4 linked regions of the Neurospora crassa OR74A genome follow. The protein of the gene in region 2 interacts with the protein of the main gene of each other region in a pairwise test. Links are inferred from orthologs where the notes say so. Each region holds a gene or a part of one and is shown on either strand. Other genes may lie near its edges.

The links. The genes of interacting proteins can lie anywhere in the genome.
Region 1: the proteins of NCU06717 (region 2) and NCU04119 interact in a two-hybrid assay, tested with the Saccharomyces cerevisiae proteins (2 studies listed by BioGRID). The link is inferred for Neurospora crassa OR74A from reciprocal best matches to the Saccharomyces cerevisiae genes GET3 and TLG2.
Region 3: the proteins of NCU06717 (region 2) and NCU06624 interact in binary tests that used the Saccharomyces cerevisiae proteins (3 or more experiments, as listed by UniProt). The link is inferred for Neurospora crassa OR74A from reciprocal best matches to the Saccharomyces cerevisiae genes GET3 and GEF1.
Region 4: the proteins of NCU06717 (region 2) and NCU06777 interact in binary tests that used the Saccharomyces cerevisiae proteins (3 or more experiments, as listed by UniProt). The link is inferred for Neurospora crassa OR74A from reciprocal best matches to the Saccharomyces cerevisiae genes GET3 and PEP12.

The regions. Positions count from the first base shown.
Region 1 is NC_026505.1:4,908,383-4,912,266, forward strand, and holds NCU04119 (SNARE complex subunit), read right to left. Parts: upstream 2,453-3,884; 5' UTR 2,123-2,452; coding exon 2,100-2,122; intron 2,032-2,099; coding exon 1,460-2,031; intron 1,386-1,459; coding exon 892-1,385; 3' UTR 501-891; downstream 1-500. Other genes in the region: NCU04118 (aspartokinase), read left to right, coding at 35-132; cmd (calmodulin A), read left to right, coding at 3,059-3,061, 3,214-3,270, 3,384-3,399, 3,581-3,706, 3,767-3,884. UniProt on the Saccharomyces cerevisiae protein: t-SNARE that functions in transport from the endosome to the late Golgi and on the endocytic pathway.
Region 2 is NC_026505.1:4,372,227-4,375,955, reverse strand, and holds NCU06717 (arsenical pump-driving ATPase), read right to left. Parts: upstream 2,260-3,729; 5' UTR 1,701-2,259; coding exon 1,314-1,700; intron 1,224-1,313; coding exon 591-1,223; 3' UTR 511-590; downstream 1-510. Other genes in the region: NCU06716 (short chain dehydrogenase/reductase), read left to right, coding at 3,682-3,729. UniProt on the Saccharomyces cerevisiae protein: ATPase required for the post-translational delivery of tail-anchored (TA) proteins to the endoplasmic reticulum. Recognizes and selectively binds the transmembrane domain of TA proteins in the cytosol.
Region 3 is NC_026504.1:1,836,729-1,840,960, reverse strand, and holds the start of NCU06624 (CLC voltage-gated chloride channel protein), read right to left. Parts: upstream 2,801-4,232; 5' UTR 2,638-2,800; coding exon 2,413-2,637; intron 2,326-2,412; coding exon 2,310-2,325; exon of another isoform or gene 2,235-2,309; coding exon 1,885-2,234; intron 1,817-1,884; coding exon 1-1,816. Other genes in the region: NCU06623 (hypothetical protein), read left to right, coding at 3,341-3,404, 3,494-4,232. UniProt on the Saccharomyces cerevisiae protein: Anion/proton exchange transporter involved in iron and copper cation homeostasis. Involved in intracellular iron metabolism during growth on fermentable and non fermentable carbon sources.
Region 4 is NC_026502.1:1,962,467-1,966,704, reverse strand, and holds the start of NCU06777 (syntaxin), read left to right. Parts: upstream 1-1,438; 5' UTR 1,439-2,046; coding exon 2,047-2,337; intron 2,338-2,445; coding exon 2,446-2,982; 3' UTR 2,983-3,353; coding exon of another isoform or gene 3,354-4,238. Other genes in the region: NCU06776 (hypothetical protein), read right to left, coding at 1-55, 114-940, 1,006-1,144; OXA-2, read right to left, coding at 3,354-4,238. UniProt on the Saccharomyces cerevisiae protein: Plays a role in the sorting and targeting of vacuolar proteases.

The DNA.
Region 1 (3,884 bases), about 540 kb from region 2:
AGTATATGGATGGCTAATCATTGTGGGTGAATAGGTGCCAGCGAGATCAACATCTCGTGTGTTATCGACGCCAGAGACGCCGAGCGGGCTATGAATATCTTGCATACCAACTTGTTCACCTTCCTGGAGTAAAGGGGCAGCCTACTGCTGAGGGTGTAACAGAGTGGACTTTGTGTCGGTTTAGACGTCTCTGTCCTTATTTTTGCGGTGAGTTAGACGTGAGAGAGTTAGACGGTCCGAGAGAAAGAGAAGAGAAGACGGGTTTGAACCCACGGGGGAGGAGTGAAGAAAGAAGAAGAAGAAGTTGAATAGACGAGCGGTTGTCGGATGGAACCTGTATACCATCTAGGCAACACATAGCGAAGATTTACTTTGTTTTATTTACATGGGCATTTATATAGAGCATGGCAGGGAGGTTAACGAAAAGGGTTAATACAGCGCCATAGACAAAATTTACACAGGATGATCATCCAACGGACTTGGAAGTACCGGAGCCTTGTCTTAAAAAGTAGATTTGATCAAGCGTGAAACTGTTTACTTTTTGTTTTTCCCAAGCATGGCCATTACACACAATGCAAACAGGGTCACAACATGAAACTATAACAAACCTATTTGAGATAAAGGGGCCGTGGTCCTCATACCTCGGTTCTCATACCCCCGATTGTTGACATCTGTATAGTTGTCATACAAACCGGTTTCCCGGAATCCTTTCTTGATGTTCTCTCCCCATTTTTATTACATTACTACTTTCTTAAATTCCCTCTTTCTTCGGCTCACTCACCCCTTTCGCTGTACCGTGTAGTGGTTTCGGTTACCCGTCCGCCCATCAACTCGATTGTCCCACACATAACATCTTGAAGTTCGTCCCTTTTATGTCTCTCCCCACTCTCTTCAACCTCCATGTTTCTTCGGCTTGATAACCAGCAAAATAATCATACCCGCTATCAAAATCAACAACAGAAGTATAATCTTCCTCTTGGTTGTCTTCTTCTGGTACCCGGACGCAACCGTCAACTCCTTGGCCGCCTCCTTCACGTCCGTCGCCATCCGCTCCACGTTGTAATCGATCCGATCCAGCATCGTACCCTGGTCGATGACCATGGTCTGAAGATCCCGGAACAGATCGGACAGGTCGATGATGCCCTGAGCGATTTCGTCGATTTCGCGCTCACGCTGAGAGATCGCCTGGTCGTTGCTGTGAAGCAGCTTCTGGTGCGTTGACGCTTGTAGGGTCGACTGGGAGAAGACCCGGTCGGCGTCGGATTCGAGAATGGAGGCGCTGTTGGAGCTGTTGCCGGGCGGGAGGCCGCTGGGGCCCAGGAAAGAAGAGGTGGCTGAGACTCGGTCGAGGGTTGGACTGGCAAGGCCGCTCATGCCTCTTAGCTCTGAACAGGGAGTGTGATGTCAGCATGACTGTTTAAAGTCAGAGTCGAGTGGTAAGGAAAGTAGGGGGGCTCACTCTTTAGATATGCGCTCTGCTTTTTTCGAAAATTGGCGCTGGCCTCCTGGACTCTCGTGGCCAGGTTGATTTGTATGTTCTTGGCCATGACCTCGTCGGCGCGACTCATCTGGCCATTGTGTTTGCCCTCGCGCACCATCTGCTCGATGCGCTGGATGACGCGGTGGCAGTCGTGGAACCCCTTGGTGATGGACTGCGTAAGCTGCTCTATCTCACGTTCCTGGTCCCTCTTAGCCTCGTCGTCGTCAAACCCCGGCAGTACGTGCTTCTGATGCAACCGCTCCAGCTTCTGGCTCTTGCGGGCGATGTCGGCCAGCAGCTCCGCCACTTCGTCCGACGAATCCGCCCACCGAGGCGGAAGCAGGTCCATCTCGATCACCGCATCGCCGTCGTCGACATCGTAGGCCCCCGCGGATAAGAGGCCGCGCCGGTCATCGTCGGCAGAGAAGAGGACCCCCGTGCTGCTGCCAGCCCCGCCGGAAGTCCCGCCGAAGCGGTCGCCTGGGTTCTGAGGGGCATATCGGTTGCGCTGGGTCGGGTGGTGGGCGTAGGACTGCCGGTACGAGATATAGCTGTGATAGTCACATGGATGTTAACGAACGACTCTCATCTCCGGGGGGTTCAAGAGAGTTCCCCGTACAGATTAGTGCGGTCGCGCCACATGGCGGACGCCGGAAGGGCGAAAGGCTCCCTTCACCTCGGTTGCACGCCGAAGGCTAGTCGTCGTCTCGGTCAGAGGTGAGAGTCAATTGATGGTAGTTAGTGGTAATGGCGGTCCAGAGGCGGATTGGAATGGGTATGGCATCACATCGCATCGCATGGACACGGCTGTGTATGTGGTCGAGGTTGAGTTGCCAATGTCTCCGTCCCTGGTCGATCTTCCCGGGGGGAAATGTTTCTAGGCCTCTCTCTTTCACTACCTACCTACCTATGTAATAACAGCAACAGGGCCAGTAGCACTGGGCAGCTGCTACCACTGACAATGACGCTGACGCGGCGGTTCAGAAACACAATGCTGGCCAGTTCCAGGGATGGGGGGCATGAATAACATGGGATGCATGTCACCTGTCAGGCACTTGGGGCCCGCCAATAAGGGGTAGCCTTTGTCAGTGTCTCAAAGAGTCGGTCAGCTGGCAGCCTGGGGGACGGGAGCTTTCAGCCTGTTAACAGTCTGGCCCGTCTGTCCTGGGCTGGGGCTGACGACCTACACCTCCAGTGGTGATGTATCCCATGCAGAGGTTCCAGGTAGGTTGCAGCACCTGCGAGACGCCGGGATGGGCTCCAGGGCATCTTTAGTTTTAGTCTCATTTTAGCGAGTGTGTTACAGTTAGGTAGGGAGGGACCCCGCCCCGCCTCCCTCCACTCCATGCTTCGCAATCGGCGGCCCAGCTGCTCATTTAAGGAACGTCGAACTAGGAGAACGGGGACTTGGACCTACCTGGTAGGTAGCCAACGGGTCTCGTTCGTTTCTACTGGGGGACCTCCATATCTACCACTTCCAAACCAGAACACCTTCGAAATCCTCCTTCGAACACATCCAACTATCTCACACGCTCGCTCTCCCCAGACCCTCTATCCACCCCTTAATACTATATCAAGATGGTATGCTCATTCCTTATCTCGGTGCCTCCCGGTCGAATCTGTTTGAGCGCAACAAGAACCCCGCGGGTTAGCTCGAGGGGCTGCGGCCGGGCTGCGAACATACGATGATGGCTGGAAAGGAGACGGGTGACTGACAAGGCTATCAACAACAGGCGGACTCCCTTACTGAAGAGCAGGTCTCTGAGTTCAAGGAGGCCTTCTCCCTTTTTGTAAGTTGTTTTTCTTGCGCCGAGCTTCCTTGTCGCCTATGCTCAATCCCCTGTGTCGCCGTTTGGCGCAAATCGTGCGAGCCTGATGACTGACCCGACACAACGTGACACAGGACAAGGACGGTGATGGTTAGTCTTCCGAAACCCTACCCCCCCAGATATCCGAATTCATCCACCACCAAGTTAGCGGCAAGCGCCTTGGATCATAGTAGTTGCGACGCACCCAACGCTTCTCACCGCCCGCCCCTGAACCGAGTTGCGATGTGAATACGAGCCCTACCGTAATGCACGCATACTGAACAGCAGCTAGGCCAAATCACCACCAAGGAGCTCGGTACCGTCATGCGCTCGTTGGGCCAGAACCCCTCCGAGTCTGAGCTTCAGGACATGATCAACGAGGTCGATGCCGACAACAACGGCACCATTGACTTCCCTGGTATGATATAAACATTTCGGACTATGGACCTGCCAGCTCGCCGCTGACAATAGCCTATAGAGTTCCTTACCATGATGGCCAGAAAGATGAAGGATACCGACTCCGAGGAGGAGATCCGTGAGGCCTTCAAGGTGTTCGATCGCGACAACAACGGCTTCATCTCCGCTGCCGAGCTCCG
Region 2 (3,729 bases):
ATGGATGGATGGATAGAAGGATATGATGGCATGCAAACGAAACATCTAGGGGAAGGGAAAATGACGGCAAATGATGGACGTTATGAAAAAAGAGAAGGACGGTTGCCTGGGAAAAGGGACTTGAGCGACAGCTGTTGCTCTCTTTCTTGATGATGGTTGGAATGATGGTTGGAGGGATCACGACAGCGGAGGAGAATGTCAGCATGAACCGACTCCCGCGCTTCCCTTATGCTTTCTCTAAATAGGCAATGGACGACATACGGACTTGACCTACCGTAATTCTTCCGCTTGCTCCGTCATTTATAGCTGCCTGGTTTTGCTGCATGTGTTACTCGGTCTAGATTGCTTTCGAGGGCTAGGAATTATAACAGAAGTAGTTTATCTTCCTTATCGATACTTGCCTCTCTGATGTTCTGTGTGTACGGTGTTGCATTTCCAAATATGGTTTGAAGTGAATTAACCCTCGGCGCAGTGACTAGATCCAAAAGCATCTCCCCATGACGGCTTCAGTTCTCTGGTTATGGACCAGGCCAAAATGACGGGAAAATTCTTGTATTATCATTATTACACCTTTTATATTACCATGCCTCCTATTGTGGCGGCACAAACGGCTTAACCAACATTTCGCTAAACTTCTCCAGTTTCTCCTTACCACGGACCTCCTCCACGAGCAGCGGCATCTTGACAACGTTGAACTCGTCGTACAGCTCCTCGATCTGATCCAGGTACTTCTTTTGCATCTTCCTGCGGGCTGTGCACTGCTCGCAGTCTGACCCGGGCTTGGGAAACAGGAGCTGGTTGACCACGATGCTGTGGGTGTCGATCCCATAGCTGGCCAGCTCCTGGATCATGCGCTCCGTCTCGTACAGCGACAGGAATTCGGGGATGCACACGCACACGAACGTGGTCAGGCGCTCATCCTTGAACTGTGTGTTCACCTCTGAAATGGTGGCCCGCAATGTCTCGAGCTTCTCCATCATCTCGTTCAGGTTCTGGCCGTTGGGCAGCGTGCCGTTGGAGCCAAGGAAGCCGTTGAGCAAGGGGCCGTATTGCGAAGACAGCTGCGAGACCTTGGCCAGAGCCTTCTCGAGGACCGAGGGAAACTGCAGGAAGCGCAGCGTGTGGCCGGTCGGTGCCGTGTCGAAGATGATGGTCTCGTACGAGAGCGACTTGACTTGCTTGAGAACTTCGGCGAAGGACATGGCTTCATCGATACCGGGAATCTATGGCAGACCCAAGAGTCAGCATGTGTCATCCATCTAGCGCCTGATTATGTCACGCAATGCGCAAGGGATCCAAGGTCAACAACGTACCGCAAACGCCAAATCCTGCATCATGCCACCCACACCACCCATATCACCAGCACCCTCATTCTCGCCCTGGCCAGCCAGGAGATCCTGGATGCTACCGTTGGGGTCAATCTCCATAGCGCTCAGGTTGTCGAAACCATCGATCAGACGCGCCTCCTTGCCAAACTTTTGGCTAAAGGCATCACTGAGATTGTGGGCGGGGTCGGTCGAGATGAGCAAGACCGAACGGCGGACCTTGGCCAGCTGGATGGCCAGACTGCACGAGGTTGTCGTCTTGCCGACACCACCCTTGCCGCCGACGAAAATCCAGCGCAGCGAGCGCTGGTCGAGAATCGACTGGAGCGTGGGCTCCATGTGGTCATCGTCGGCATTTATGACTGCGGTAGACATGATTATTGATGTTGGAGCTTTGGCACTTTGCGCTTTTGGTATTACGATGATGGTTGTTGTTTCGGAAGAGATTAGATATGGCGTTCCACCGAACGGGTCGAGGTGAACTGCGCAGGTGTGCTGTTGTGTCAGGGGCGCCCGAACGAACGGAGGAGTGAGGTCTGGAATCAGTTCGAATCGCAAAGTCGACCTCCTTTTGGGACGCGATTGTCGGGTTCAGTTGGGGTCGGCACCACTGCACACCTCATCCCTCGTCCCCTCCAGTGAGAAGGGACAACGTCACTGGGCGTTGGTGGGGTAGCTGCCCTTGTAGCGCTAGAAACGGGCAGGCGCCCCTGTGCCTTATCGTAGAAAGCTTCTATGGTAGCGCACAGGTACATAACTACCTCTAGCGCTTTCCCCTTCTGATATGGAAAGCAGCAGCGTTCATGGGGGTGTAAACAAACCCCTGAATACCTCTAGGGCAGAAGTTGATCTTCGTTCCCTTAGTTAGCAATTCAGCTTTTCGCAGAGGGCCCGAGGGAACGCGTGGTTATCCGGCCCTAGAAGGTGGAGAACCATTTAAAGTGAACAGTAGTGTACACATCTCACTTCTCTTCCTTCTCGGGTGCGGATGGCATTGTGATGTGCCGCAATATGACCACGAGGATCGCCAAGGTAGGCATCAGTATGGCAGACGCGATACATAGACCCCTGGCTACCTCACAGGAAGACACGCCTATCTCTAGCCAAGCTCACCGGCTCCGGAAGCTATATCTGAGACCAGAATACTATGAAGTAGGTTTATGGTTTCAACGCCAATGGACAACCTGTGAAGATGTTCATCGACAACCTGTGAAGATGTTCGTCTAGGCTTGAACAGATATGGGATTTTGTCCAGATGGATTCCTGTCATGTACAAATTAGTAAGCTACGATCAAAAAGGGCCCAGCGCCGTTGAGGTCATGTTCTCACTTTGCGGGGTATTCCTTAGTCCGGGGGCAGGTTCACCCACCACGCTTTGTTCTGTCCTTCTTATAGCCGTTCCGCGGTACACGATATCCTGGACGTCTACGCAGTAGATGTGAAACTGCAGGCTCAAAATCCCCGGCGTGGCAGCCAATACAATGCAGGATACAAGACTGAATGGTTGATCCAGTACCTCCAAAGGTCTCCGTCCCCGCATGCGTCCTGGTCCGAAAAAGAGTTTCGGAGCCACATCCGAAGGCCATGCGCACTACATGTATAAGTACCTAGATGGACACCACTGCAATGCGCGTCCCCTGGTTCGAGCCTCAATTCCTTTTGAACGATCAGCCAGAACCAGAAAGGCTCGAGCCTCGCCCGCCCTCATTTGCCGTGGCCCACCGGCTGTGCGCTATTCTGACCGCCGTGGCATCGATGCCCTTGGTGGGTGGGCAGCGCTAAGTAACAGGGATGAAGCCGTTGAGCTTCCAAACTGCAAGCCTAATTGTGTTGCCATTCATGGTTGAGGAGACAGTCCAGCCTTGACAAAACCCGCTACCGTGACTTTTTTTTTTTTTCTCTTCCACCCAGAGTAATCAAATCTTACTTGTTTTTGGGACGACACTATCCTCTTACTGAGTCTTATACTACCTCACAGCTCACGATATCGAAATCCCGGACCCCAGTCTCGTTTCACGGCAGCAGCGAGGCAACACTCAGCAGACCGTGAACCAAATCCACCGAGCGACTACAGTGCAGAAGAGACAACAGGATACCTCTACCGATCTCAGCCATCACTTTGTCAAGTTCACGGCATCTACGGGCATCTGGAGGCATCAGTGTCACACTGCCACTCACTCACGGGCTGACATTGAGACACACGCAGCACGGTCCAGCCAAAGACTCTGGGGAAGGGTAGGGTGTCGTCTTGTAGACAAAGCTTCAGCTCCGAGCCGACACCTTTGTTGTTAACTGAGCGGCAACTGCTAGCGAGAAGGAAGACGCGAGGAACAAGGTTCCTGCTCCTACACTCAGGATGGTGGACCGCAAGCCTTCGGAAGCTGCGCCGACCACGAGCGGAAGA
Region 3 (4,232 bases), on a different chromosome or scaffold from region 2:
GTTGTCCATTGTTAGCGACCTCCTCCATTGCCTCGACCTTGAACTGATACTTGAGACAATCCTTCACCGTGACAAGCCCCATCAGCTTGCCGTGGTACTCAATCAGGATCACACGCGGACCGATCTTGCGGAAGAGTTCCATGACGGTTTCGAGGGGGAGGCGCGGGTGAGCGGAGACGGGGGTGGTGTCTACGTAGCGGCTGAAGTTGATGAAGTTGGAGGATGAAGCAGAGGCAGTTGTGGATGGCTCGGCGAAGCCGATAGTGTTGAAGCTGTCCATGCGGGCGAGACCGGGTGTGATGATGTCAGTGCCAGGGGTGGTGACATCTGCGCTGGGTGGTGGAGCAAAGGTGCACTTGGCTTGAGGACTGAGTGTTCTCTCACGCTTTGCGCGGTCGACGGCATAGCGTAGCTCCGTACGGCCGATGTAGCCAACGAGGATTTTGGAGTGCTCATCTTCCACGATCGGGAAGCCTTGATAGTTGTCCTCGGCGAGAAGACCCTCGATTTGCTGGAGGGTCATGCCGTTGGTGGGGATAGATGTGACATCCTTGATCATGGCGTGCGAGACGGGTACGCCGAGGTTGTGGTCTTCCTTGTTGTCGAGGAAGGGGAAGCCGCTGAACCAGATCATGCGGTCCGCGATGCCACCTTTGCCGAACAGCTCACTGACGGCTTTGGTTACTCCAACGACAATCATGGTTGGCAGGATGTAGGTGAGGGCGCCGGTAAGCTCGAACATAATGACCACCACCGAAACAGTGATGTGCATGATGCCACTCAGAGCAGCGGCGGCACCAAGAAAGGCGTATGTTCCCGGCGTGATGCATGGCACATCGGGCAAGCAAGCAGCGAAGAATGGGCTTTGCGGGTTGGCTTCATGGAGTGCTTGGACAATGATGCCCACTGAGCGGCCAAAGGAGGCACCAATGGCCATAGACGGCACGAAAATACCGGCTGGGACCTTGCAGCCGTACGAAATAATGACGAAGAAGATACGGATGACGGTTGCTAGCAGCAAAGAAACCACGTTGCGAAAGCGGTGATCTCTCTCGCAGAGGCCTTGATAATCCTCAGCGCCTTCGCATTCAAGAAAAAGAATCTCCATGCTCTCGGTCATGTCGATTCTCAGAAAGCTGTTCGGATAACACACGATAGCCGTGGCAGCCGCCAACAGAGTAGCTTCGAGAATAGCGTAGTTGGTCAGGTACTTCTTGCGGAATGCTTGCACCCTGAGATTCCACTTCATGACGAAGGCACCGTATAGACCGCCAAAGATGCCCAGTAGAATAAAGAATAAAATCTCAAAAAAGTGCCACGATCTGTCGTAATGGACCTGAAACATGACCAATTGCCCAGTTCGGAAAGGATTCATGGCAGACAGGACGGCTGTTGCAACCAGAGCGCAGAAGTAGCTACGCCACATGGTCTTGAGAGGAAAATAGCTGGACATCTCTTCGAGCGAGAACAGCACACCTCCAATAGGGCTACCGAACGCGACAGCAACTCCTGCAGCAGCACAAGCGCTCAGGATCTCACGCGTCTTGGATGCATTTCGTCTATACTTGGCGAAGAGCCTCGATATGACATTTCCTGTGCACACAGCGTAGTGTACGCTAGGCCCTTCCTTTCCAACGGAGAGACCGGAGCCGATGGCAAGTGGTAGGGCCAGGGACTTGATGACTAGAGTCCAGAAACCGAGAAACCCCTTCATGACGAAGCCGGCGATGATGCATTTGATCTCGGAAATGCCAGAGCCGGCGGCATAGGGGGCATAGGACTTGACCAGGGTGGCTGATGTGCAGGCGAACAAAATCTAGAGCCTGTCAGTGAGGAGCTGGTCTTCTCAGATGGCCCGACGAGGGATAGGCAAGGATTACGAACCGCAAAGAGTATGTAGATCAAGTAGTTGATGGGTGAGAAACCCGTCCATTTTTGCCAGTCGTCGCAGCCGTTGTCCTCCCCCCAGCAACAGAAATTCTCATTCAGATAGAAGGCAGTCTTGCAATGGCCAAGCTTGATGTCGGCAAGCCATTCGGTGATAATGTTGAGAAAAGCAGCATTGACTCCAATTGCCGCACCTATGATGGTGACGACAATCCAGCCCTGGGCAGCATCATAGGACTCCCGTATCCTGTGTCGCCAGTCGAAGCGGCCGGCGTCCCAGAGCCCCGCATTTCTTTTTCGACGCGCCTTTCTGCGCAGTTGTTCTCGCGCCGCATCTTGCACCCAGTCTGTCGTCTATCGTCAGCGCCTGCCTGCCCGGCCGGTCGGGCGGAAGTGGTTCTGATGTCAAAGGTGTATCATACCGATGGTGGTGAAGTCCTACTCGGTCCATGTTAGCAGCCGCACAAACTAACCCGGTCGCATCGCACAACCCAAACTCTGGAGCAAGCGAAGCTAGCTGCTGACCTCGTATCGCTTGATCTGCGCAATTTCCTCCTCGATCTGATGTTGCGCTGCTACTCCTTGCGCCGTCTGGGCTTCTCCTTGTTCGGCAATGGACACGGCGTAGGAAAACCGGGAGCTGACGGACGGTCTTCGAGCGCGCTGGTTCGGGATCTGGGGCACTGACGTCGAGAACGACGTAGATCGGGGTTGCGAATTCATGGCGCCTGGGCCGCCTCTAGACATCATGTCGCTGGCATTCGGACTGAAGTAAGAAGTGCAAAGTAGGTGGGCGCTTCAAGTTGTCCGGGTTGTTTGCCGTTCATCAGTACCTACAGGTACTTAGTATCCATGTCATTGTCTTCCAGGTTGTCACTGTTATCGATTGCGCCTCCAACCGCCCAGGTGCCTGTAATCGCCCACTGAAGCTATCACTCAGCTGCAAGGCTGAACTAGAGGTAAGTGACGTCCCAACTCCAGCGCCCAGCTTCCGGGGTTCTGGGCTCTTGGCAGGCAACCTAGGTAATCCCTGAGCCGCCAAGGTGCCCGCCCCCTGGTACTGTACTACAGTACCATGTTATAGCCACCCATGGGGTTGTCTGGGAAAAGATGCAACACTTCTGTTAATCGCGTCTTTACGCGTTTCACTTTAACTTCTTGCCGTTGATCCGCTGGTTCGATATATACCATTCTCAGGACCAAGAAACGCTGGTTAGACTTTGATTGGATCATCCAGACGACCTACGATCACTTTTGACATATCGGCAATTAATCTTACAAACGGCTTGTCACACACTCGGTGTCGGCACCTACGAAACTCAGTCTAGAACGAAAAGTAGAACTGAACCCCAAACTGGTTTCTCCCTCACCTCAGCGATATAAAATCCACTCCGAACTTGGAATCACCTCGCACATTGTCTCCTGGAGATCTGCCGTTCTCCCTGCCAACAAGATGCCGTACAACACCACAGCAATTCCTCCCCGAAAGGAAGTCACAGGCCAAACCCAGCTGCCCCGTAAGGAAACCCAGCAGTCCCCTTGAACTTCCTCTCACGCATTCACTCCGTGTGAGTCTACATATACTAACAATTTCCTCTCCACCCAGTCACAAGGGTCAAAAAAATCATCGCCGTAGATCCAGACATCACAGTCTGCTCCAACAATGCCGCTTTCGTGATCACTCTGGCAACAGAAATGTTCATCCAACACCTCGCCTCCGAAGCCCAGAACATGGCCAAAGCCGAGCGCAAGCCTCGCCGCAACGTGCAATACAAGGACGTGGCCGCTGCCGTCTCCCACCACGACAATCTCGAGTTCCTTGAGGACGTGGTGCCCAAGACTTCTTCCTACAAAGCCATCAAGGCGCAAGCAGCGGCCGCCCGGGCCCGCGTCAAGGGCGGGAGCGACGTTGTGGTTCCTCCTGCGGGGACCGCCGCCGCGGTCGTTTTGGCGCCTGGACCGGTTATGGGAGGACTGGCAGCTCCCGAGGGGGTTATGCTATCTTTGGAGCAGGGACAAGTGGGTGATCATGGAGATGAGCGGGATAGGATGGCGATGCTGCCGAATGCCAAGAAGCAAAAGGGGTCCGGCGGGTTGCAGCAAACGTCCATCTTGATGTCTATGAATGGGGGGTTGCCTGCTGGTACAGGAAGCGGTGCTAGTGGAAGCATTGGAGGGCTGGCGGCGCCGGTGAATGGACTCGGTGCTGGCGGGGTTAATACCGGTATTACCAATATGGGTGTCACGACGGGTGTGGTGGGCATGTCGTCGGCTTCGGGACGACCATTTAGTTCTACTCCTGGTGTGATGAGCGGCATGAATAGGGGTATCTTGTCGGCATCACC
Region 4 (4,238 bases), on a different chromosome or scaffold from region 2:
TGCGTCTCTCCGGGAAATCGCGCGCAATCAGGGCCAACTCCCACATGGCGAAGCACTTGTTTGACCATTAGCAATCAGGTACGTGACAACGTGCACGATTCAAGCGAACATACCTTGTAAAACAACTTTCTGTGCCCGAGTCCGTTCAAGAGACTGCCATTGGGATCCTTGGACCCCGATGTGAAAGGGCGTTGATCCTTGGTCGGTTCCTTGACCATGAACATGGTGAACGCAGTGTTACCAGCAATCCAAACGATCAGGAGCATGGTGCTAGCCAGGATGATCGAAGTGGCGCTTTTGAAGGAGACGGGCCACGAATATGGCACATAGTTCGTCTTTGGAAGGTTGAAGAATGGGCGAAAGAAGAAGAGCGACAGCCGCCAGACCACCTTGCGCAGGAACGGGTAGGTGACCAAAGTCAATATCAGGCTGGCAAGCGTTTGATTGAGTGACTGCAAGAAAATGCTAGGCATCTCACCCCAGAACTTCTTCATAAGGGTGCCGACATCACTGTTGTTGTTACGGACGGCCTTCTCTGAGGGCTTAGCGACACCCAAGAGGAGCCGGTCAATGTCCAAATACAGATGTCTGATGGCCTGGTAGACGCCGAGCATCACAAGATGGGTGGTAATGAAGACAGCCTTCTCGTTCAGCCTCTGTCTATCGTACGACAGGTACGTCACCCATTCCAACCCAGAGTCCTTAGGCTGGGAAAGGAGGTAGACTTGGGCAAACAGCCAGGCAGAGAAGGCATATGTCAAGATGGTCTCCAAGGTTGAGAAGTTGCGCCAATGCTTCAGGAAGGTATCGAAAGCCGAGTCGGATGTTCGGTAGCCGGGATGGTATTGTGCGATGCGCAGGATGAGGATGAGCGAGCCGGAGAACCAGAAGAAGGCGGCGCGAAAGCCAGTCGGGCCGATGGGAAACCAAGACCAGAGGACTAGATGGAGAGCAGCATGGTCAGTTGGTTCGCGTCAGGTAGCAGAAGGTAGCTGGCCAGCTTACAAGAGTTCCATCTGGCCAGGCCAATGGCATAGACATATGCGATGACGAGCAGAATCAAGGCTGTGGTACTAAAACGGCGATGGAGTGCAGGCTGGAGGAAGTCCTTGTAGGGCGGTCGTCTAACAGATGCGGACGCCATCTTCACAGCACATTGTCGACAGTCCCGCCGTCGTTATGGTAGTTGTTTGCCTGTGGATGGTGTCTGGAAGACGTGATGCGCGTGAGGGGGAGGGCGGGGAGGGGGGAGGTGGGATTGGTCCTCGTCGAAATTAAGCTGAGGTCAGTAAAGCCCAATTTGGATCTTGAGGCAGCAGCTTCGGGTTTGATATGAGGTGTTGAGTTGGTTGTATGTAAATAAAAAAACGGGGTGGGCCTGCCTGCCGCGCTGGACTGGACTGAACTGAAGCTTCCAGTTCCCGTAGTCCCCAAAACACGAGGGGACGCGCTGTCGTCAGCCTGTCACTCTTTTTGGATCCACACGAGCTGAAGGCCCGGTATCATGATTGGCCAAGATGCCCCATTACGTCTCCAACAAGCCAAGCCGAAGCTTTGGAGCGGCAGGGCAGGACGGCAGGGATCCACATGGAAGTTCCCTCGAAACTGACAGTGGATGCTGACAGCGCACAGCGGGCAGCCACTGAGGGACAGCGACTGGTGGTGTCCTGGCTCGCCTGGATAACGCAATCCATTGCAACCACTTGCGACCACTTGCGACCCGGCATTGTCGTCCCAGATCACAAGTCACAAGTCACCTTAGGTTCCCGCGCTTCAACTTACAACCATCCACCCAAGGGAACCTTGGACCACCACCGCCTGTTGACAAAAACATCACCAACAAAACAGGCACCGACGAATCGCTCGTTTTCCGAAGGGCCTCATCTCAGCTTCCATTTGCTTGAAGAACCGCATACTTGTACATACCGAATCCCATCTCGTCGACGACAATCAATCACTACCCTGCGCATCGCATCAGGCACCGATAAGCCAAACTATCTGCTATCATAACCACAACCACAACCACGACAACCACCACCAGCAACCATGTCATTCGATCAGCTCTCCTCCCTTGAGGCGGGGCGCCGTCGTAATACCGGTGGCAACCAGTACACCGATGACCCCGAGTTCCAGCGCCTCTCCCAAGATTTGATGAACAAGCTCTTCAAGCTTAACGGCAACAACCAGCGACTCCAAGGCGAGGTCGGCCACCTCGGCACGCGGCGCGATACTCCACGGGTTCGGGAACGAGTCCACGAGCTGATTGAGGAGTCGCGCGATCTATTCAAGGAAGTCGGCGGGGGCGTCAAGAAGGTGCAAACCTGGGAAGATGTCACTGTACGTTACTATTCTCTCTCTCTCTCTCTCTCTTATCACCACTCCTCGTCCCCTCCATTGCCAAGCGCCGGACCGTAGACTAACACGCCATACCCAAAAAAAAACTAGCCGACCCAAAAATACATGCAACAAAAACTCTCGCGCGAATTCCAATCCTCCCTCTCCGAATTCCAATCCCTCCAACGCACCGCCCTCGACAAGCAAAAAGCCTCAGTAACCGCCGCCCGCTCCGTGATTGACGCCACCGACCCTTCGCACTCTTCGCACCCCGTGCTCGAGTCCGGGGAACCCCAGCTGCTGCAATATCAGGAGCAAGAACTCACCCACCTCGCGTCGCAATCCGATGTCGATTTCCAGGATGCGCTCATCCTCGAGCGCGAAGAGGAGATTCGCAATATCGAGCAGGGTGTTGGCGACTTGAATGTGCTGTTCCAGCAGGTGGCTCAGATTGTCAGCGAGCAGGGCGAGATGCTGGATACGATTGCGAATAATGTGGAGAATGTGAGGGATGATACGGCGGGGGCGGATAGGGAGTTGAGGAGTGCGGCGAGGTATCAGAAGAATGCGAGGGGCAAGGCGTGCTGTTTGTTGCTGATTTTGAGCGTTATCTTGACGATTGTTTTGTTGGCGGTGTTCTTGGGCTAAATGGGTGGGACATGATATGGCATGGTATGAAAAACAAGTGCAGGATGCGGAAAGACGGGACACAGTAAGGATATGATTGTTGATGATGTTTTGATGATGAAACGGAAGGGAATGGCCCGGAGGACAGGGTAATCCTGTAATGGTTGGTTTTGTTATTTCTGTTGCTGTCGTTGTTGTTGATTTCGTTATCGCAAAGACGCCTGGGAGGGATCAAAGACAGGGGAAAGGCGTTTTCGGAGTTCTTACATTCTTTTTTGACTCTTGTTGGCTATACAGTTTCCATCTGGCCTCTGTAGGCGGCCAGTCCATCTATCATCCATCCATAGGTATCTTATGTCTCATACATCTACATACATACTGTACAAAAACCGCTATGCTCTATCTTGTGACATGGCTTGCGAGATCACTTTCTTTACGGCTGTGTGATTCGGCTCCCAATCCAGCCCCGGCAGCTTCGGTCTCACATACGGATCATCTCCCCTCCCCTTGGCCGGTCCCAGATATGGCGGCAACGGCATCTTGGCCGCCACCACGCTCGTGATCGCGTTGCTCGTCAGACTCGTCGTGATCCAGTACAGGTGCAGCGCCGCCGGCAAGTTGATGGTGGCGGGCCCAACGATCAGCGTCAGCAGCAGCAGCGCCCGCTGCATCCTAAGTCCTACGGACTTTTGCTGCTTGATCTTGGATGCGTGCTCGCCAATATTGTTTGGGTTGACGTCCTCCGTCCCGGGGTTCAGGAGACGCAACCACCCTTCTTGGTTGCGAGGCATTACGTTGACGAACATGGTGAAAGAAAGAACGAAAGGGAGAATGTGCAGAGGGTCGGCGGCCATGAGGTCGGGGAACCAGAGGCAGCCCTCCATGGTGGTGGGGAGGGTGTTTTGGAAATAGCTGGAGAGGGATTCCGGGAGGATGTTGGCTAGGGGGTTGACAATGGCGTCGGCGACGGGCGTGGTAGTGGTGACGGATGCTTCCGTGACGGCCTGCGTGGCGTTTGTGGCCGCTTCAGTTGCTTGTAACACTGCTTGTTGTGTGGTTTCCGCCGCCTTCGAGGCCGCCTCCGCCGCCGCCCTCCCATCCTTATTAGCCCCCAAAAACATACCCAACAGACCAACCGGTCCGCCACACAACCTCCTCAAAGCCTCGATACCCACCAGCCAGCCGGGAAAGGCCAAAAACGGCACAAACTGCTTCCATGGCTGCACGCCCCACTCTTTCAGTAACCTTTTGCTCGTCTTCTCCATCCGCTTCATGAT